Callithrix jacchus: one gene and its partners. The protein of the gene in region 1 purifies or fractionates together with the protein of each later gene. This does not show direct contact. Links are inferred from orthologs where the notes say so. Each region holds a gene or a part of one and is shown on either strand. Other genes may lie near its edges.

The links.
Region 2: the proteins of VBP1 (region 1) and PFDN6 purify together in Homo sapiens (affinity purification with mass spectrometry; 6 studies listed by BioGRID and IntAct, counting the BioPlex papers as one, with this or other methods). This does not show direct contact. The link is inferred for Callithrix jacchus from reciprocal best matches to the Homo sapiens genes VBP1 and PFDN6.
Region 3: the proteins of VBP1 (region 1) and PFDN5 purify together in Homo sapiens (affinity purification with mass spectrometry; 7 studies listed by BioGRID and IntAct, counting the BioPlex papers as one, with this or other methods). This does not show direct contact. The link is inferred for Callithrix jacchus from reciprocal best matches to the Homo sapiens genes VBP1 and PFDN5.
Region 4: the proteins of VBP1 (region 1) and PFDN1 purify together in Homo sapiens (affinity purification with mass spectrometry; 4 studies listed by BioGRID and IntAct, counting the BioPlex papers as one, with this or other methods). This does not show direct contact. The link is inferred for Callithrix jacchus from reciprocal best matches to the Homo sapiens genes VBP1 and PFDN1.

What each region holds. Positions count from the first base shown.
Region 1 is NC_133524.1:150,955,764-150,961,543, reverse strand, and holds the start of VBP1 (prefoldin subunit 3), read right to left. Parts: upstream 3,964-5,780; 5' UTR 3,941-3,963; coding exon 3,848-3,940; intron 1-3,847. UniProt on the Homo sapiens protein: Binds specifically to cytosolic chaperonin (c-CPN) and transfers target proteins to it. Binds to nascent polypeptide chain and promotes folding in an environment in which there are many competing pathways for nonnative proteins.
Region 2 is NC_133505.1:41,530,175-41,534,832, reverse strand, and holds PFDN6 (prefoldin subunit 6), read right to left. Parts: upstream 2,283-4,658; 5' UTR 2,247-2,282; exon of another isoform or gene 2,239-2,246; intron 2,099-2,238; 5' UTR 2,012-2,098; coding exon 1,948-2,011; intron 1,701-1,947; coding exon 1,630-1,700; intron 1,549-1,629; coding exon 1,424-1,548; intron 1,212-1,423; coding exon 1,082-1,211; 3' UTR 999-1,081; downstream 1-998. Other genes in the region: WDR46 (WD repeat-containing protein 46), read left to right, coding at 2,700-2,768, 2,866-3,075, 3,173-3,253, 3,397-3,509, 3,629-3,716, 3,841-3,902, 4,171-4,275, 4,384-4,534. UniProt on the Homo sapiens protein: Binds specifically to cytosolic chaperonin (c-CPN) and transfers target proteins to it. Binds to nascent polypeptide chain and promotes folding in an environment in which there are many competing pathways for nonnative proteins.
Region 3 is NC_133510.1:66,255,688-66,261,394, forward strand, and holds the start of PFDN5 (prefoldin subunit 5), read right to left. Parts: upstream 3,771-5,707; 5' UTR 3,746-3,770; coding exon 3,674-3,745; intron 3,477-3,673; coding exon 3,374-3,476; intron 3,072-3,373; coding exon 3,040-3,071; intron 1,815-3,039; coding exon 1,740-1,814; intron 1,621-1,739; coding exon 1,515-1,620; intron 108-1,514; coding exon 31-107; 3' UTR 1-30. Other genes in the region: ubiquitin-conjugating enzyme E2 L3, read left to right, coding at 5,270-5,707. UniProt on the Homo sapiens protein: Binds specifically to cytosolic chaperonin (c-CPN) and transfers target proteins to it. Binds to nascent polypeptide chain and promotes folding in an environment in which there are many competing pathways for nonnative proteins.
Region 4 is NC_133503.1:38,674,278-38,679,983, forward strand, and holds the start of PFDN1 (prefoldin subunit 1), read right to left. Parts: upstream 3,953-5,706; 5' UTR 3,925-3,952; coding exon 3,892-3,924; intron 621-3,891; coding exon 454-620; intron 1-453. UniProt on the Homo sapiens protein: Binds specifically to cytosolic chaperonin (c-CPN) and transfers target proteins to it. Binds to nascent polypeptide chain and promotes folding in an environment in which there are many competing pathways for nonnative proteins.

The DNA of each region.
Region 1 (5,780 bases):
TGAAAATACTAACAAACACATTTCCCATTCATGCTCACAAAATGATTTTATAGGTTGTATGCCAAGATCATCAATTTTATTACTTATTTTTAATTCAACAAGTTTTGCCATAGAAATCGTACTGAATATGGTCATGAGGTTCCCAAGGCAATCCACCAATGCTTCCTTCAGCATCAAATAACTGAAACAAAGTCACCTAAAAGGCAATCAGAATAATCTTTTGTAATAGGAGTAAAAGAGATGTTAAATTTTTTTTATACCACATGCTGGTCCTTGAAGAAAGGCTAGTTAATTAGATAAGGATCAGAAACCAGATGAAAATATATGGAAACTTAGATGCTACAAAAGCCGTTTAGTACTTTACGGAACTTTAGTTCTTTATCATAAGTAACTTTAATTATGGCTTCTAAGATCTTTATATCATTCTTCTTTTTTTTTTTTTTAAGACAGAGTCTTACACTGTTGCTCAGGCCTGGAGTGCAATGGCACAATCTCGGCTCACTGCAACCTCCGTTTCCTGGGTTCATGCGATTCTCCTGCCTCAGCCTCCCGAGTAGCTGGAATTACAGGTTCACACCACCATGCCCAGCTATTTTTTTGTATTTTTAGTAGAGACAGGGTTTCACGATGTTGGCCAGGCTGGTCTCGAACTCCTGACCTTGTGATCCGCCCACCTCGGCCTCCAAAATGCTGGGATTACAGGCATGAGCCACCGTGCCCAGCCCACATCATTATTCGTATCCATATTTATTAGCTACCAGAGAATATCTTAGCTGAAACAATGAAGAAAAAGGAAGAGAAACACAGCAAGGGAGTGAACTATGAAGCCATCAAACTAGAGACAGTAAATGAAATTGCAAAGGTAAGGCTGAGAGTTAATGGCTGAGTTCTGTATGTAAAAGAGAGATGTCACCTTCCTAGAAGGGTCACTGCAGGGAAGAGAAAGAAGCCTGAGTTTTAGCACATGATACATATTATTAGGTGCTGAAGTTTAGCATGAATTAACTACAGCAGCATAGGCTAAGAGATGGGGTGCCTGGTTTGAATCCTAGGTTTACCACTTACTAGATGAGTTGACCTTAGGAAAGTTAGTTAACCTCTCTTTGCCTCAATTTCCTCATCATCTGTACAAGTACTTTTCATCACCCGGGATTAAATGAGTGAGCATATAGGAGATGCTTCTAAGAGTATGTGACACCTATCTATAGCATAAAGTGCCATTGGGACACAAAGTGCTAGGGATTTCGTTTTGGGGTAGAGGTCAGAAAAAACTACAGGGAGTTGATATCTGAACTACAAGTGGAAAGATGAAGAGGTCATGAAACGGACAACGGTGAAAGAACAATTCAAGCAGAGAAAGAAAACAAATTACTGCCTCAGGGGGGTTGGGGAAAGAACCAGGTCTGACTTCTAACAACTATGGTATATTGACTCCTAGCATCATGGGCAATCATACCTATTCAACATCTACTACACTGCAATACTCAAGCATGTTGTTCTCTGTTTCCCATAACAACTGTCTAAGTATTGTCATCCCTATTTAGGTTAAAGAAACTCAGGCTCAAAGTGGTAAAATAATATGCTTAAGGCTAAGCAGCAACTGGGACGCAGAGCCAGGATTCAAATCCTGGTCGATTTAGAAGCCAATGATCTTTCAACAATACCATGTCACTTCAATTATTAACAGTTTGGGAACAAAAACAATTATATAAAATTGGGTTGCTTATTACATTATGTCAATAGAAATTTTAAGGTCTACAAAAAAATAGCCATGACATTGTAGGGAAAAAGCATTTTAAGATGTTATAAAGCCCTCAGATAAAGTGTATACTGTGGAGACAGATTTCTCTAGCTTAGCACTACGAATGTAACATTTAAGTCAGTACGGAAATTCAATTAGACACATAGGAGTTTATACTATGTGTCAGGCACTATTCTAGGGCCAGGAGAAATGACATAATGCATGAGAACTACCTCACCTCCTCACAGCAGCAGAGCATGAGGGGTAAGCTGGCGGTGTGGACCCCCACAGATTGCCGAAGTTCAAATCCTGGATACCTCATTTACATCCTGTGTGGCCTGGGGCAAGTTACTCAAGGGCCGTGTACCTCGGTTTTAACATCTAAAAACAGACCTAACAGTAGCTAATACCTAGAGTTTAGTAAAATCATTAAGAAAGTGCCCAGCACTCAACAAATTTTATTCCTTGTTATGATTAGATAATAGATTAATGTAAAGAAATAAATGGCACAGCTCATGAAAACACAAAATAATAAACAATTACAAAATGTAATCAGCAAATGCAAATAGACAATATCAAGTGTGGTGTAAATAAATTAGAGTTTTGAAGGACATAAGACATGATCAGTAAAAAGGCAGAGGTAAGGAAAGGTATAAATCAAAAGGTTCAGAAACTTTCAGAAACTAAATGGGGACAGACAGATGAGCTGGCCTGGAGGGCCAGTCAGACATTTTCTCTCATTACTCAAATAGTCTTCAAATACTATTTCTAAATAAAATAAAATTTTTAAAAAGGCACTCAGAACAGGGAGCGCCCTCCAGAACAACCTCTGGAGCGACCCGATCCCCTCTCGGATGCCAGTGAATCTGGGACCCAGCGCCAACACGAGGGTTCGGCCTCTTCTCTCAACAATTCATTCTCCACTAAGTTGTTAGAATGATGCACCTGAAACCAAAGGCCTTTTACAGTAGGCAATGGCAGTGCATTGCCAGCACTTTGGGAGGCCGAGGCGGGTGGACCACAAGGTCAAGAGATCGAGACCATCCTGGTCAATGAGGTGAAACCCCGTCTCTACTAAAAATACAAAAAATGAGCTGGGCACGGTGGCACGCGCCTGTAATCCCAGCTACTCCGGAGGCTGAGGCAGGAGAATTGCCTGAACCCAGGAGGCGGAGGTTGCGGTGAGCCGAGATCGCGCCATTGCACTCCAGCCTGGGTGACGAGAGCGAAATTCCGTCTCAAAAAAAAAAACAAAAAAAAAACCTCATTCCTTACGAAGCCATAGAAGGGGTTTACACTCTCACCCCATCATCCTACTTCTTCTACTTCCCCCAAGGCAACAGACCACGGCATTCCTTCAACAGACACGGTGATATTCCCTTTTTCTTTTTTTTTTTTTTTTTTTTTTTTGAGACGGAGTTTTGTTCTCGTTACCCAGGCTGGAGTGCAATGGCGCAATCATCTCGGCTCACCGCAACCTCCGCCTCCTGGGTTCAGGCAATTCTCCTGCCTCAGCCTCCCGAGTAGCTGGGATTAAAGGCGCGCGCCACCGTGCCCAGCTAATTTTTTGTATTTCCAGTAGACACGGGGTTTCACCTCGTTGACCAGGATGGTCTCGATCTCTTGACCTTGTGATCCACCCGCCTCGGCCTCCCAAAGTAATGGGATTACAGGCGTGAGCCACCGCGCCCGGCCCTCCCTGTTTTCACATCTTGGCACTAGCTGTTCTGCCTATTCATTGTACTGTCTCTCCAGCAACTAGGCGGAGTCGAGAGCTCCTCACCATTTCCCCTTTTCCAAGCAGCAGGGGGGCTCGAAAACCAGCCGCAGCCGGCAGGTCCCTAAGGCCGCCCCGCCGCCCCTCACCCTCGCCCAGGCCCCGCACCCCGTTCTCTTCTAGGACCTTCTCGAGCTACGTGTCTTCCGGGCGGGCCGCAGCAGAGCTCAATCTTTCCATGTGCAAAGAAGAGTGAGAGCGGGCCGAGCACCCGGTCCCTGAACCTTTAGCTCAGCTCCTTCCAACAGTAGAGGCCTAGGTGTGAGCCGGAAACAAAGGGGCAGTCCGCAGTCTCGAACCAAGATGCCAGGGAACAGCGTGCTTCTTACCACAAACACGGCCTCGGGAATCCCCAGGTGGAGCCGCCGCCCATTCCCTGTTGCCATTTCTCCTTTGCCGCTACCGTCTTTCGCGGCCGCCATCTTGGGGATGCGAGTGCTCGACTGCCTTCCGAGCCACCGCCCACCAGGATTTCGTGATTGGCTCGTTCGCACCTACAGGCCCGCCTCTCCGTACACATTCATTGGTGCGCAGGAAAGGTCCCCCCACCAAGTTCCGGTTCTCCTTTGGTCGAAATAGGTGCTGATTGGCTGCGCTCAGGTAAGTGACAAGCGTGGAAGGGCCGCAGAAGACAAGCTGGAGCGGCAGGAAAAACCCTTACGTCCTCTTGGGAAAAGGAGTCTTGTGAGTGAGCTGTGCTAAAGCCCTAGGAATGGGGACCTAGCCTGACCCCACCCCGACCCTAGAACTCGCAGCAGCCTTGACAATGGCCTCTGGAGCGACCGAATTCGCTCTCGGATGCGAGCGAACCTCAGACCTATCGCCATCACAAGCGTTCAGCCTCTGTGCCTTTCTGGTCTCACCATCCCAAGGAGCTTCCTGCCTCTTTTTTTTGAAACGTATTTTCGCTCTCGTTACCCAGGCTGGAGTGCAATGGCGCGATCTCGGCTCACCGCAACCTCCGCCTCCTGGGTTCAGGCAATTCTCCTGCCTCAGCCACCCGAGTAGCTGGGATTACAGGCACGCGCCACGGCGCCCAGCTATTTTTTTGTATTTTTGGTAGAGATGGATTTTCACTATATTGGCCAGGCTGATCTCGAACTCCTGACCTCAGGTGATCCACCTGCCTCGGCCTCCCAAAATGCTGGGATTACAGGCTTGAGCCACCGCGCCCGGCCATTGAAGGGAACTTACTTTGTGTCTGTTTCAGACTGGAGTCACGGGCCTCATTCTAATAAATACCCTGCCTGTCGCACCAACCTTTCCCGAAAGCCACCTTTGATCAGAATGTCTTCTCTCCAGCTGAAACGTTTCCAGAACCTCATAGTCCACATACAAAATCCTAAGAACTCCACCCAGGCTTCTAGGCCCATGGACTTACCCAATGTCATCCTATGCTACAATCCTGTAAAAGCATATCTGTCGTATAGAACCAAGTAATTACTCTTCAGGCCCTTTTCTGTCCTTTCTTCCACTGGAGTGTTTCCCAGTGAAGCAGTGCTTCATCCACTCACACAAATTCCACCATAAGCATAAGAATTATGCAATGGAAAGCCTTATACATAGAAAGAAACAACCAGTATTAGCCTTTCTAAAAATATACCAAAAAGTAAAGAGCATCAACATAAAGAAGAATTTACATCAACGAATGGATAAAATAGCCGGTTAACATCAAATGGCAGTAACCCTAAATTTAAGTCTACTAAATCCCCCAATCAAAACATACAAGCAAAACCTAACGATATGCTGCATCCAGACCCATTTCACATCCAAAGATACACAAAGACTTAAAACAAAGGGATGGAGAAAGATCTACCAACCAAATGAAGGGCAAAAATAAATAATTAAAAAGCAGGAGTTGCAATTCTCGCATCTGATAAAATAGATTTCAAAGCAACAAAGATATAGTGGTAAAAGGATCAATGCAACAATAAGAGCTAACGATCCTAACCCCCAGATACATAAGACTCATAAAGAGATTTAGACTTAACGAGACAGAAAATTCATAAGGATATCCAGGACTTGAACTCAGATCTGGAACAAGTAAACCCAATAAATATTTATAGAGCTCTCCATTTTAAATACATAAAATATACATTCTCCACCTTAAATGCACAAACTATTGATTGGCCATTATTAATAGCCATTTTTAGAATAAACCTATATTCCCGTTCTCTCTCCCTCTTTTTCTTCCTCTTTCTTCCTCTCCTTCACTTTTTTTTTCTTTCTTTCTAAAAAAAAAAAGTAAAAGAAATAAAAAGA
Region 2 (4,658 bases), on another chromosome or scaffold:
CAGAAATTCAGAAAGGGGGCCAGCCACCCTGGGGCAGTGAAGTGCCACTGGTTTACCAGACAGCTGCGAAATCCAGCCCTGTGGGAACTGGTAATCTAACCAACTTGGATACCTGTGTATAGCTTCCCACCTTCCACCAGTGCAGCACACAGGTAGTGTTGGAAAACAGCATCAGTTTCTGATTCTTGGCCATATCCTAACATGTGAAGGGCCAAGCAAAGGCCTCAAGGCTCTGAGCCCCAGGGCAGACGGGGATGGCAAAAAGTAGGTCCTTGCAGGAGTTCCTTTTCCCACTCGGGTTTCTATCACTGTGACAACACTAAGATAATAAACCAAAACACTACCTGAATTCTACTCCCCTGTACTTGCAGTGTGTTTGAACTGGCTGCTATGAGTGGGGTGGGAACTGGCTGAAGGTAGTTGCCATTGAGCAGGAAGGGGCACAGTGTTTTCTATCCCCATGAACGGAGCAAAAAGTGAGTTACTTGGTGAACAGTTTCCTCAAACAATGCTGCAAATGTGTATAAAACAATTTTTGGACAAAGAAATGGCTGAACAACCTTATGGACAACATATAAACTTAGGAGGACTTATAACACCATAAAGCATTACATGCTAGGCTTTTAAGTCAGTTTAAGCTATATTCAAGCAAATTCTAGGAAGACAGGCTGAAAAGTACTAATAGAGATGTCAGGACTGCTGGCAAGGAGGGTAATCACATTTCACCTTGGGGCCTCATGTTAGAGAACTGTATTCTTCAATTAAACTGACATTCCTCACATTCACAAATGTAAATGCCCTTCTAAAAGAATCATGCCAACCAAGATGAGGGAGAGTTAAAAGAAGGTTTGAGGACATTTGGGATTTCACTTTCAAGAAAGAAAACACTGTGCCACAGAGAGATTTCAAGTGCAAGAGTTTGGACCTGAGGGAGTAATATAGGTGGTGTGTGTTAAGGTGGAAGGGGCTGTGGAGATATGCCTGATCAGGAAACAGAGGCAGGTGTTTTTGCATTTTATTAGCTACAGTATAGATCCCAGAGCTGCCTCATTCCCGCCCCTCCCCTTCCCCCACCATGGGGTCAGGCCTTGCCAGGAGCCCCTGCCTTTGCTGCCTGGGCCCGCTGGAACTCCTGCTGCAGCTGAGCAAGGGTCTCTCTCTGTTGCTCTGACTGCCGCTCAAGATCCCGGAGCTGGGATTCGTATCGCTTACTGAGGAAAGACAAGCAGAAAAGGAGAAATTAGTGGGACTTACTATGGAGGGTGCTAAACTCAAGAAAGAGACTTCTCTTTCTTGAGATCTAGGGAAGGGTGCAGAAGGGGTGTTGGAAGGGGTCTGGAGGAACTGGACTAGGGGCGACTATGGAGAGCTGTTCTGCAATGGTTCCTCAACTCCTCTACTCCAATGGTTCAGTTAGACTCACATTTCAGCTGTGATATAGTCCAGCCTCTTCCCCACTGTGGCCCGAGCCTCTCCCAGCTCCTGTTTGACCAGCACCGGACCCAGAAGTTTAAAGACCACGTTGGACCCATCCAACAGGGCCAGTTCCTGATGGAGGGATGGGACATATGTAATCAGAACCATGGCCAGTACAGGCCCCTCCTCGCCGCACAAATCCCAGTCCCTCACCTCTTTCACGATGTTATTTTCTGTTAGTTGTGCTTCAAGTTTCTGCCTCCCCGACATGGATTTACTCAAGTCTGGGGATGAGAGGAAAGGCAAGATTAGAAACATCAAATGTGCCACCAATCCCCACAATCCTAGTCAGGAGGAAATGGATCTGAGGAAGTAAACAAGGATGGGGGCAGCGGGTCAGTGAATAGGGACGAGTACTGACGCGGGAAAGTCTCCGCACGCGACGGCCCAGATGGGGCAACAGACCTTATCCTAGTATGGTTTTGGGTTGTGAGTGCATCGGGCGAGGCCACACTGACCCTGCTCCCTTACCCTTCTGTAGCTGTTGATATTTCTCCACTTCTCCTTGCAGCTTCTTTTGAATCAGCTCCGCCATGGCGGGGATGAAAGCTTAAGGGGAGCGAGAGAAGGGCGCTGGATCTTACTCTCTGGAAGGTACCTGAGTTCCCCTTTCTGATCTGGCCTGCGGAAATGATGGCACTCTTAAGAGGCAGCCCTGAGGGGGACCGCAAACTCCCCACGTCCCGGATATCGACTCCACCCTGTTCCCAGGAGATGATGGGCGAAACGCGAAACCCCGAACCCCTCAACCGAAATCCTAACCTACTCACGTTCTCCCTTTAGTAGTAATAAACCCGGAAGTAAACAAAGAATGCTGGGAAAAGACTGTGTCGGGAAGTTTCTTTCTGATCCTTGATGGGAAGTGTAGTTCTGACATGTTTAGTGAGTGGCGTTCTGCTAAAAAGACTAGACTCGGACATTTTTAGGCAAGACGGGGAAACTAATCCAGAAAAAGAAATCGCACCGCTACTTAGTCCCTGGTCCTGGACCTGCCCTTTTTTTTTTAAAGTCTCTCTTGTATAAGCTGTCGCTCGCGATAAGGTGCCAAGAGCTGTTCCGCCTCTCTAAAGAGAGCGTGCCCTCACTCAAGATGGCGTTAAGAGAGCTTCAGATTTGGTACGCTGCTGATTGGATGACGGACAGAGGGCTTCCGGAAGTTTTCAAGGCGACTGTAGGGCAGCTGAGAGGAGTTTTGCACGTGGATCGCCGTACGGGTGGGCGAGATGGAGACGGCCCCCAAGCCGGGCAGGGATGTCCCGCCCAAGAAGGACAAACTGCAGACCAAGAAAAAGGTAGAGGCCTCTCTGGGTGGGAAAATAAGTTTTTAGTTGCGGAGTCGGGGGGCGTGGCGTAGGTGCGGAGTTATTAGGGCTACTGATCTGCCCGTAGAAACCTCGGCGATACTGGGAGGAAGAGACTGTTCCGACCGCAGCCGGAGCCTCTCCAGGGCCTCCTCCTAACAAGAAGAATCGGGAGCTCCGTCCCCAGGGAGCAAAAAGTACTCACATCTTAAAGAAGTCTCGGATCTCTAAGAAGCCTCAGGTCCAGAAGAAACCCCGAGAATGGAAGAATTCGGAGTCCCAGCGGAGCTTGTCCGGGGTGAGCGTGGGACCTAATGGGTGGCGAGGCAGGTCGAGAGTGAAGGGGTTGGGGTCAATTTAAGGCTGCCTGCTAATTGCGTCCTTCCTTCCCCTAGGCCCAGGACCCATTCCCAGGCCCCGCCCCCGTCCCTGTGGAGGTGGTCCAGAAGTTCTGTCGCATTGACAAATCCCGAAAGGTGAGGTCCAGCTGGAGAGTTGGGAAGTGTTGGAGGCCGGGAGTGTCTGAGTGAGTTGGATGGAGGCTGAGCCAGGTAGCCCTCCTGTGACCCCACTTACTCTGTGGTTCTTCTACCACTCCTGTCTACCAACAATGTTAAAGCTACCACAGTCTAAAGCCAAAGCTCGAAGCCGACTTGAGGTGGCGGAAGCTGAGGAAGAGGAAACAAGTATCAAAGCTGCTCGTTCTGAGCTGCTGCTTGCTGAGGAACCTGGGTGAGTGGGCCCTAATCTGGGCCACCCCATTCCCTGCTTTATAGGACTCTCTCGTTTTTATGTTGGTACACTTGTTTCATATTGGGAAACTTTACTGCCATCCTAACCCTTGCTTTCAGGTTTCTGGAAGGGGAGGATGGGGAAGACACAGCAAAAATATGCCAGGCTGACATTGTGGAGGCTGTGGACATTGCAAGTGCAGCCAAGGTGAGCGAGGAGTTAAAGGAGCCAAAGGGTTGATGGGTGGTGCAGGACAAGAGAAGAATGGGGGCTAGAAGAAGCGTTACTGCAGAGAACTCATTCTTTCTTTTTTTTCTTCACTCTTTCCCAGCACTTTGACTTGAATCTGCGGCAGTTTGGACCCTACAGACTAAACTACTCTCGGACTGGGAGGTAACATTGAATCTAGTGACTCCTGAACTAAAATGTGTTTCCTTAACCACTTCAGCCATGCCCATTTCAGCCATTCCCACTGTATGTTTGGGTTGTTGATGAGGCGAGAGTCCTGCGATTTGCTTGCTTGTGAGGGTGAGCCCCTACAGCAACATCTATTTGCCCACCTGGAGAGGGAGAGGCAGGGCTGGCATGGGGCAGACCCCTCAAGTTGTCTCAGTTGGTGCTCCACTGCCTTAACACCCTGCCTGCCCCTCACCTCCAACAGACACCTGGCTTTTGGAGGGCGTCGGGGTCATGTGGCTGCCCTTGATTGGGTAACAAAGAAGCTTATGTGCGAGATCAACGTCATGGAGGCAGTGCGGGACATCCGGTCAGTGGCCTCACTGTCAGCAGTCAGTAGGGGTGAGATAGTCCATCCCTGATAGAATGATAGCCTGTGACCTCGTTTCCCAATGGAACCACTCTTTCTCTCCCCCAGATTTCTCCATTCTGAGGCACTGCTTGCTGTTGCTCAGAACCGCTGGCTCCACATCTATGACAATCAGGGCATTGAGCTCCACTGTATCCGCCGTTGTGACCGAGTAACACGGCTTGAGTTCCTGCCCTTCCACTTTCTCCTGGCTACCGCTGTGAGTGGCTGTGGGGCTCAGGAACTGGGTGGCAGCCCTTGGGAAGACCACTTCTCCTTTAGGACCCCAGGAGAAGGAATACAGAGGGCAATCAGGACTGGGTCCTTCTCCCTCTCTCTCTCTC
Region 3 (5,707 bases), on another chromosome or scaffold:
GGGTGTCCCTCCCCATTTCTGTAAAAACTCTCAGGCCTTAGCAGTAGCCTGAGCTGCCCCCAGGGCTGTGAGCTGCTGAATCTTCTGGCTCATCATTTCCATGACAGCTGTAGAAAAAAAGATGAGTCAGATCTTGGTGACAAGCAAAAAGGAGAATCTAGAGTTAAGAAGTGACAGGCAAGTTTAAGGACAGGAGAACAACTAACTGCAGTTTATTAATAGAACTTTTTTTTTTTTTTTTTTGAGATGGAATCTCACTGTTGTCACCCAGGCTGGAGTGCAGTGGCATGATCTTGGCTCACTGCAACCTCTGCCTCCCAGGTTCAAGCAATTCTCCTGCCTCATCCTCCCAAACACCTGGGATTACAGGCATGTACCACCACGCCCAGCTAATTTTTGATTTTTAGTAGAGACCAAGTTTCACCATGGTGGCCAAACTGGTCTTGAACTCCTGACCTCAGGTGATCCACCCGCACTGGCCTCCCAAAGTACTGGGATTACAGGCATAGGCCACCGCACCCGGCATTAATAAAACTCAGTGATCCACTGTGAGGTCACTAACACAAATTTAGGGTCTATGGTGAGAACAAGACTCCGTCTTGAAAAAAAAGATGCTAACCGCAGATATAAAAACAAACACTAAATGAGTCACACATAATCAGAAGACTATAATGTGGAAAGATTTTTACCTTTCACACATAATCAGAAGACTATAATGTGGAAAGATTTTTACCTTTAGAACACTGGTTCTGAATTCTGATTTTAACAGAGGGGAGCTTTTTTGGGGGGAGACAGAGTCTCACTTCGTTGCCAGGCTGGAGTGCAATGGGGTGATCTCGGCTCACTGCAATCTACACCTTCCTGGTTCAAGCCATTCTCCTGCCTCAGCCTCCTGAGCAGGTGGGATTACAGGCATTCGCCACCACGCTCAGCTAATTTTTGTATTTTTAGTAGAGACAGGGTTTCACCATGTTGGCCAGGATAGTCTCAATCTGCTGACCTCATGATCCAACTGCCTCGGCCTCCCAAAGTACTGAAATTACAGGTGTGTGCCATGTGCCTGGCCGAGGGGAGCTTTTAAAAAAAAAAAAAAAAACTGACCTTGGTATAACTTCGCCTCCCTTGACTTCCAGGTTTAGTTGATCTGGAATTAACCCACGTTTTCTTTCTAAACTTCCTGAGTGAATCTAATGTGCAGCCGGGGTTGTAATTGCTGGTAATTAGTTCGTTTGGGTCATGATTCCTTCCTGTGTGTTTATCTCATCCCCCATTCTATCCTCATTAAATAGGAGCTCCACCAAAGCACACATATTTCTTTCCTCTCAATTTCTCAAACGCTCAACCCAGAAATCTACAAATAGTGATTATGCAGTACGCAGATTCTAAAGATGCCAAAGAGCAACTAAGACATAGTTTTAATCCAGCAAAGGGGACACCCCTGTGCTTCACACTCCAATCCACATTCTTTACCATGGAGATAGAGACGGTCAAGAGGTGCCCCAGGAAAAGCTTACCCTGTTTCATGGCGTGCTTCTCCTGGAGAGCTGGTTGGATTTTCTCCATCTGCTTGGTTAGAAAATCTATCTTCCTCTTGAAAAAGTCCTTGGCATCCTCAGCTGTCTGCAAGATCAGAGGTGAACGAGGGGCTAAAAGGAGATACCCTCTGGCCATGTTGCACTCTAGCTCTTCCCTAAATTTCCCTTCCCTGTTCAGAGGGGCATCCACATGCTCTCACTCACCTTCTCTACATAGTACCCAGTTCCCACATCGATGAGCACGTGCTCCACATCATGCAGCTTCCCAGGGACATACATCTGAGGAGCAAGTATTAAGGGAAAAACTAGCCCAGCATGAGCTGTGATTCTGCAACCCAGCCTGCTTGGCCTCTAAAGACCCTCGTTTTCCAAAAAGCTACAAGGCATAAGGACTGAATAATCTGGAGGCCTTAGAACAATATCTATAACTCCAAATGGAAAGAAGACAGAAGTTGGTTCTTTATGGAGAAAATGATGTATGCTGGAACACTCTCTTGTCCTGCCTCATCCCATCTCTCACCCTCTAAACAGTTCTTGCAGTTCTTCCCATTAGCCCCTCCAGAAAGACTAGATATGTTTTCCTACTGTTGTAGAGTACAAGTGGAAAGCTAGCCTCACTTCCCTTAACCCCCTCAATCATGAAGTAGCTAATTCTTGATGAATTTTTATTTTATTTTTATTTTTGAGGTGAAGTCCTGCTCTTGTTGCCCAGGCTGGGGTGTAATGGCACACTCTCAGCTCACTGCAACCTCCACCTCCCAGGTTCAAGAGATTCTCCGACCTCAGCCTCCTAAGTGAGATTACAGGCATGTGCCACCATGCCTGGCTAATTTTGTATTTTTAGTAGAGATGGGGTTTTCCCATGTTGGTCAGGCTCATCTTGAACTCCTGACCTCAGGTGATCTGCCCGCCTCAGCCTCCCAAAGTGCTTGGATTACAGCTGTGAGCCATAGCACCCAGCCATTTTTTTTTTTTTTAACGATTCCCTACTATACTATTCCTGTGTTCTTTTTAGCCTGTCAGTTCTCAGACTACAAAGGTGCCGTATTGCCATAACTCGCTCATTCAAGTAAGACATTCAGCAAGTGGACACAATCCAGGTTCCTTAGTGACAGTTTAGGAATGAGCCACAATTAAGCTGAAATTGAAGATTAACAGTCAACATACCTGTTTCTATATCCTCCTATTTTGTCTATTGCCTGTGTCTTCTAAGTTATTAGCAAAATGTAAACCACCAGCTTTATCTCCATATTAATGTTCTCAAACAGCAAAGGGAAATATTACATCTCAACTCGACATACTCCTTGGTATTCACAAGGCATTAGCTGGATGTTGGTGTGAAGTTAGATATAAGAGCTACATAGTGTGTAGTAAGAGTATTCTCAAAAACGTTGCGGGGGAGGGGAATCTGAAGTAATCAAAACGACCCTTCTCCCCGCTTTTTGGGGGAGAGTGAGGGAGAAAGGGAGAAGGCAGCAGGTAGCCGTTCCTGTGGAAAGGATACAGAACTCGTCAGTGGGACGAGTAATTCTTTCCCTGTGAAAGCAATGAAGACAAACACCTGGGGAAGGTTAGCGGCTCCAACGTAAGACATTAAAGAGAGTTCCAACAGGGGACAGCACCCACAGACAGTGTGAAAAGAACGGAAACAGGGGCAACAGGAGCAGAGGTATGTCCTGTACATTTCAATTTTAGGTAGGCAACATGCAAAGGGTTCATGAAGCGGCATACGAGATGTAATGGATTTTCTCGTTTCAGTTAAGAAAAACTGGATTAGGAAGTGGGACGAGAGAAGCTGGCTCGCCACTTTAGGTTGCCCTCACCCGCCTACCCCATACCCTCGTTGCTCTTGTTCAGCACGTTCAGACAGTCCTTGGCTTCCACATACTTGGTCTGTACCACTTTGAGCTGGGCAATGGACGTGGACAAGAACTCCACTTCCTACAGAGGACGGGAATAGAGTCAATGAAAGGGCTGCGGGGAGAAGGGAGCCCGGCCAGGGAGGGGGCGGATCCTGGGATCGGATAGAGGTTTCGCCTGGGAAAGGCAGGCTCCCAACTTGGAACGGGGAGCGAGGAAGTACGCATGGGCAGGGGGGATGTAGAGCAGGAAAGAGGCGCTTCTGGGGCTCGTCCCACCTGGTCCAGCTGGTTTTTGAGCATTTCTAGCTGCGGCAGATTCAGCTCCGTGATGTTAATCGACTGCGCCATGTTGGGAAGGAGGACTAACGAAAAGGAAGTCCCTTGGCGAGCAACGCTCTAGCAGTCCTCTGCGCGTCTCTATGGCGCCAGGAGGCCTAGCTGCGCCAGGCTGCTCTATGATTCTCCGTCCCGGAAGGGAAGGGGGGGCTTGAACCGGTCAGAGGCTGAGCTGTGCTTTGGTTTCATAAAACATTCTAACCCTAGCACGGTAAAGTTGCGGCAAACAGGACTCCAGCCCACAAGGAACTTCAAAATCTTAAAGTCCTCACGACACAACCACGATGTTATAAAGTAGTGTATGCTACTCCACATGGGTGGTATAAGCTACTGACAGGTCTTCAGTTCTTTGGTCCGAAGTAGCATCTTGAAAATGGTGCTTTGAGCAGATGAAGTGGAAGGGAGTCTGGAGATGGAGCGAACAGCAAGGAGGCACCATTGTCAACCAAGTACAGCACAAATTAATCAAAATGTTTTGGCCGGGCACTGTGGCTCACGCCTGCAATCCCACCACTTTGGGAGGCTGAAGAGAGCGGATCGCTTGAGCCAAGGAGCTTGAGACCAGCCTGGGAAACACGGCGACACCCCGTTTCTACTAAAAATACAAAAATTAGCCTGGCTGGTGGTGTACGCCTGTAGCCTCAGCTACTTGGAAGCCTGAGGTGGGAGGATCGCTTAAGCTGGAGAGTTTGAGGCTGCAGTGGGCCGTGATTGTGCACTCCAACAGAGCCAGACTGTCTTCGAAAAAATAAAAAAGGTTCTACCATGTGCTATATGGCAGGGATACGTGAGAGTGTAAGATACTTGCTTCCCTTGAGGTTAACAATTGGAGAGAAAAACTTCACGATTATAACTCCACAGATCCACAGAATCTACTGCTAAAGTATACACATTGGTAAGTGTGACAGCTGTACATGAGCAGACAGCAGTAGCCTTTAACATCTACTTAGGAGTCAGGCAGGGCAACTGAGGCATTAAAACTAGTGCTACTCCCAGGGTACCTGAGGCAGGAAGACAGGATGGACGGGTGGTACCTGCCCCATAACACTCTCAACGGGTCAATGATTACCCTTCCTTGGGCTTATCTCTACTTAGCATTTTGATGCCCCTTTCTCCTCCAGATTGTCTGCTGAGGCCCAGCCAGGCCCGGTAGGCTTTGTCCTGTCTTTGCCTTTCTTCCCCAGGCTCTCAAACTTGATCTCCTGTGAGCTGTTCCCATCAGTTTACAGTACCACAGCAGGAAGGGGGCAGTTATGCAGTATCTGTTTTTTTTTTTAAGACAAGTCTCATTCTGTCGCCCAGGCTGGAGTGCAATGACACAATCTCAGCTCACTGTAACCTCTGCCTCCTGGGTTCAAGCGATTCTCCTGCCTCAGCCTCCCGAGTAGCTGGGACTACAGTGTGCGCCACCACACCTGGCTAATTTTTTTCCTTCCTCAAGTTGGAGAAATCATCATTTTAAATTTTGTGTTATTTCAAATCACAAACACTTGTTAAACATTAAGCTTCGGGGGAAGGAGCACCACCAAATCCAAGATGGCGGCCAGCAGGAGGCTGATGAAGGAGCTTGAAGAAATCCGCAAATGTGGAATGAAAAACTTCCGTAACATCCAGGTTGATGAAGCTAATTTATTGACTTGGCAAGGGCTTATTGTTCCTGACAACCCTCCGTATGATAAGGGGGCCTTCAGAATCGAAATCAACTTTCCAGCAGAGTACCCATTCAAACCACCGAAGATCACATTTAAAACAAAGATCTATCACCCGAACATCGATGAAAAGGGGCAGGTCTGTCTCCCAGTAATTAGTGCTGAAAACTGGAAGCCAGCAACCAAAACCGACCAAGTAATCCAGTCCCTCATAGCACTGGTGAATGACCCCCAGCCCGAGCACCCACTTCGTGCTGACCTAGCTGAAGAATACTCTAAGGACCGTAAAAAATTCTGTAAGAATGCTGAAGAGTTTACAAAGAAA
Region 4 (5,706 bases), on another chromosome or scaffold:
CAGCTCCTCATCTGAAAAAAAGAAGGCACTTAATTAAATAATCTATAAAGTTATTTCTACGATACTTTAATCCAGGTTTTGCTTTGCTTTGTTTCGTTTTGTACACAGCTACCTCTGTTGCCCAGGCTGGAGGGCAGTGGCACGATCTCAGCTCACTGCAACCTCCACCTCCCAGGTTCAAGCAACTCTCCTGCCTCAGCCTCCCAAGTAGCTGGAAGTACAGGCAAGTGCCAACATGCTCAGCTATTCTTTGTATCTGTGGTAGTCACAGGGTTTCACCATATTGGCCAGGCTGCCCTCAAATGATCCACCCCCCTCAGTCTCCCCAAATGCTGTGATTACAGGCTTCAGCCACTGTGCCCGGCCTAACTCAAGTTTTAGGATGAACAAATTCTATTTAATTCAGAGAAAAGCACTCCCAAAATAACTCTATTAAGGACATACTTTACTTACATTCTTCCTACACCTTCATACATGTTAGTCTCATCTACCAAAGTCATGATCTCTGTATCTGTAAGATGTGCATGCTTTTTCGTTCTGTTTAGCTGTTCAATCTGTATGTCTGCCAGCTTCACCTTCTGTTGAGTGTCGATAACTTTGGCTTGAAGCTCTGTGAAGGCCTAATAAAAACAAGTCCATGTCTTAATAGGTAAAACATTTTACAGAAAACATTTATGTCAAATCCAAATATATTAGAACAAAACATGCTAGCCAGAGACAAAGCTGTGGAATTTACCAAAGCAAACATCAATAAAAGTCAACATAATTGTAAATAATCAAGACACTATACTAGATACTCAATTTACAATCATCAGAAGATACATCAGCGTGATGCAAAACAATGCACGTTAAACAATAACCATATTAAGTGGCAAGTACTTGGTCAGGTGTAGTAACTCACACCTGTAATCCAGCACTTTAGGAGGCTGAGGCAGGCAGATCACAAGTTCAGAAGATCAAGACCATCCTGGCCAACATGGTGAAAACCCGTCTCTACTAAAATACAAAAAATTAGCTGGGCATGATGGTGCGCACCTATAGTCCCAGCTACTCGGGAGGCTGAGGCAGAGGAAATCGTTTGAACCCAGGAGGCAGAGACTGCAGTGAGCCGAGACTGCGCCACTGCACTCCAGCCGGGGTAACAGAGCAAGATTCCATCTCAAAAAAAAACAAAGGTCAAGTACTCAAGGATTAATAAAAGAAATAAATGCAACAGTCAAGGATGAAATCCAGAAATTTAAAACAAGAACCATAAAAGTAACAACTCACATTTGTATTGCACAATTAGGTTCAAAGCACTTTCTCACATTAGTTTGAAATATTACATGGGAATATGAATATAAGAATATTAATGAGGAAATATAATGATAAATCTCATTTATGCTTCTCAATAATCCCGTGAGTTAGCGTTGGCAGTTTCATCATCCACAATTTACAAATTAAGTAATTAGGCTGGGTGTGGTGGCTCACGCCTGTAATCCCAACACTTTGGGAGGCTGAGGTGGGCAGATCACAATGTCAGGAGTTTAAGACCTGTCTGGCCAGTATGGTGAAACCCCGTCTCTACTAAAAATACAAATATTAGCTGGGCATGGTGACGGGCACGGTGACGGGCACCTGCAGTCGCAGCTATACGGGAGGCTGAGGCAGGAGAATCACCTGAACCCAGGAGGCGGAGGTTGCAGTGAGCTGAGATCGTGCCACTGCCCTCTAGCCCGGGTGACGAGCAAGACTCCTTGAATAATAAAAAAAAAAAATTACATAACTAAATGAGCTAAGAGATAAAAGTGGCTTGCACAAGCCACTTTTGGGGAAAAGGCAGGTATTTAAATCCATTCCTTCTAACCTCTTAGTTCAGGAACCTTTCCATTCTACTGTCTATAGTAATATTCAAAATATAAATATTTTTAAGAGGAAGATCAAAAAGAGAGTGAGAAAAAATGCAAAGCACTGACAAAAGAATTGCATCATGATCTTCATCCACACATATCAGGCCAACTCTGACCCTTATGTACTGGAGATAAACAGTTCTTGGATATTCTTGTTGAAGTGCCCGGAATGACTTTCACATGCTGTCAAATTTGTACCTTAATAATAACAGTTGTGACTGCAATGCACAGCAAAAGCTACTACATAATTTTTATTCTGACCCTGTTTTCACCTACTAGTAAGGTTTAGAAAGATTTATTTTGGGGGACAGAAGGGGCCTGAAATTTCCTATTTGTCTCCACCCAAGAAAAGGACCCTGTAACAACATTAGAAGATAAAACCTTTAGGCTGGGCACAGTGGCTCACATCTGTAATCTCAGCACTCTAGGAGGCCAAGGTGGGCAGATCACCTGAGGTCGGGAGTTCAAGACCAGCCTGACCATCATGGAAAAATCCCATCTCTACTAAAAATATAAAATTAGCTAGGTGTGATGGTGCATGCCTGTAATCCCAGCAACTCGGGAGGCTGAGGCAGAAGCACCTCTTGAACCCAGAAGGTGGAGGTTGCAGTGACCTGAGATCATACCATTGCACTCCAGCCTGGGCAACAAGAGCAAAACTCTGTTTCAAAAAAAAAAAAAAAGAAGATAAAATATTTAAACAAGTTTTTAATTGGTTGTCAAAATTATTCAGTTTAGGACTGTAATCATTTCCTTAGTTTGCATTCACTGTCCACATGTTTCAAATGCAGCAACAAATTCAAAAGTACCAGGAGGCAAGTCCATTCACTAAACCCTGATTTAAATCTGTATTTTTAATAGAAAAAAAGGTAAATTTTTAGAATGCACAATTTTGTTTTGAATGTAAAATTCCGGTATTGTCTGATTGCTCTGTACAGATTGCTAAAGAAGCTAGTAAATGCTAAAGATTAGGGAACACCTAAGGGCTAGATTTACAAGACTGAAGGCAGGAATAACAAAAAGCAAGACACAAACACATAATATCCTCAGAACAGTAGTAAAAGCTTCATCTGTTAGGAGCAACAGTTATTTCGGCTGTCCTATTTCTTTTGCACAGGTTGATCAGAGGCAGTCTTAACTAAGATGTTGCTCATCTGAAGAACCCAAAATAATGGTCAAAAAAGTAGGAGGTAAGACAAAATACCGGATTCTAGTCCCAACCTCTGACATACTTTTCTAGAAAAGTAGATTTAAAATAGATAAATCCTAGGGTCCTTTCCAATCCACCCCACTGTACACAGCATACTGGTTTGGGGTCATCAGCAGTGTTAGAATACTGATCATTCTTAGCAAAAATCTAAGCAAAAACACATTTATAAGCAACTGTTTGAGGAAAGCGGGAAACCTAATTCCTTCTGATACCAGTTTTATTTGGAACACTTTACTTTTTTTTTTGACAAGTCCTTCAAAAGAAGGAGGAGGGGGTCAAAATCCTGAAATGAGCATTGCTGCTAGAATCCCTGATTTTTCAAACTGTTCAGACTGCAAGCTTTCAAAGTATAGAACCGAATACATGGCCTAAAAACAAAGGTTGGACTTGGAGTTTTTCAAAGCAAATAAGGCAGTTATGGATGCCACAGCTCAGGCAAGGGGTCCGAAGGGACCCCCATTTGAAATGCTCTCTATAGTTGCTACTATGAAAGTGAGTCCCTGAAGGCTCCAAACTCAACGACATGTCTCTGGAGCTCAGAAAGACTGGGCAGGCCCGAAATAGGCTCACAGACTTATCCCACCCAAACCAACCGGCTTCTACCCAGCAAGAGCCGCTCGCCCCCACCCCAGTTTAAGGAGACCCATTGGGGCTTAGGACTCTGGGAAACCATTCCCTAATCCACTGAACCCTCCTTCCTTCTGCAAGGCTTGGGCCTCACTCGAAATTCCTACCTACAGTCCCCTCAACCTCCTAAGAGAAGGTTTCCGCTTGCCCAAGACCCTCTTTTACCTTCTTCAACTCAAGATCCACGGGGGCGGCCATCTTGGTGCACTCTAGGCGCCTGCGCAGTGGGAGTTGGCCCGAAAGAGAGTGGGGGAAGGGCGCGCCTTAGTTTGAGCGTCCGTCTTCTGCGCCTGCGCATGAGTTGAACTAACCCAGCTTCTTCCCATTCTCTGTGAATTGACCCCTGAGATATTTGGGTTTCGGATTCAGTGTCTTCCCTATCTGACCGGTCAGGACTGACTTTCTCCTCCACATCTTCCAGACATAGCCCAACGCGCAGATTTCTTAGGTGGCTTTAAGCAATTTGCCAGCTAGCTTAGTGTGTGCTGCTAAATTGAAATGTTTGTAGATGTAAAACCCTCATCAGCCAGCCGATCCGTCCTTCAGCTATTCACTGTGCTGTCAGGAATGAGTAAGTCCTGAACCTCAGGCATAACAGTTTGGGAAAGACTAGTGGAAAGCTTATCTACAGTGTTCTTCCCAAGACGAACTTATTTCTTCCAAAAGCCTCCCGAAGACCTTCTAGACACGGTGATTCTCAAGAGAGGCTGAATACGTTTGGGTTTGTTTTTGTTTTTGTTTTTTTAAAAAAACAAACAGCTTCTTTGGGTCTCATCTCAAACGTGCTTAGAATCTTTGAGAATGGGGTCTAGAAATTTGCACTTCTGCAAACTCATCCAGTGACCTAATGGTGTAACTCCTCTGTGCATCACGTTTTTGAGAATGTCTGTCATAAAAGGACCTGGCATTTGAACCAGAAGGATAGATAATAATTGACTTTTGGAAATGGAGAAAAAAAAATATGTTTACCTGCTCTAAAAACTGTTATGCTAAGAGAAAGTGCTACATGAATATTTAGGACATTTATTTTCATTTATTTATTTTATTTTATTTTTAGATGGAATCTCAATCTGTCGCCCAGGCTGAAGTGCAGTGGTGCGATGATGGCTCACTGCAACCTCCGCCTGCCCGGTTCAAGTAACTCTCCTACTTCAGCCTCCCGAGAAGCTGGGATTACAGGTGCGCTCCACCACGCCCAGCTAATTCTTGTAATTTTAGTAGAGGCCAGGTTTCATCATGTTGGTCAGGCTGGTCTCAAATTCCTGACCTCGTAATCCTCCCACCTCGGCCTCCCAAAGTGCTAGAATTACAGGCGTGAGCCACCACACCCAGTTGGAAATTTATTTTATTTAATTAAAAAAAAAGGGAAGGAAGGAAGGAAGGGAGGGAGGGAGAGAGGGAAGGAAGAAAGAAAGAAAGAGAAAGGAAAGAAAGAAAGAAAGAAAGAAAGAAAGAAAGAAAGAAAGAAAGAAAGAGAGAGAGAGAGAAGAAAGAAGGAAAGCTGTTAGGGAGATAGAAGCACAGAGAATTTGGAACCAGCCAGATCTAAATTCAAGAGTTGCTCTACCTTTAATCTATGTCTGGTTCCTAATTATGTGACTTTGAGCAAGTCACTTGGATTTTTTGTTTTTTTGGTTTTTCTGTAGGTATATGTTTTCTTTTCTTTTCTCCCTCCCTTCTTTCTTTCTTCTTTCTTTTTCTTTTTTTTTTTTTTTTTTTTTTTTTGAGATAGGATCTCACTCTGCCACCCAGGCTAGAATCTAATGGTGCGATCACAGCTCACTGCAGCCTCTACCTCCCATGCTCAAGTGATCCTCTCACCTCAGCCTCACAAGTAGCTGGGACTGCAGGTGTGCACCACCCACACCCAGCTGATTTTTGTATTTTTTGTAGAGATAGGTTTTCACCCTGTTGCCCAAGCTGGTCTCAAACTCCTGAGCTCAAACAATCCGCTAGCCTTGGCCGCCCAAAGTGCTGTGA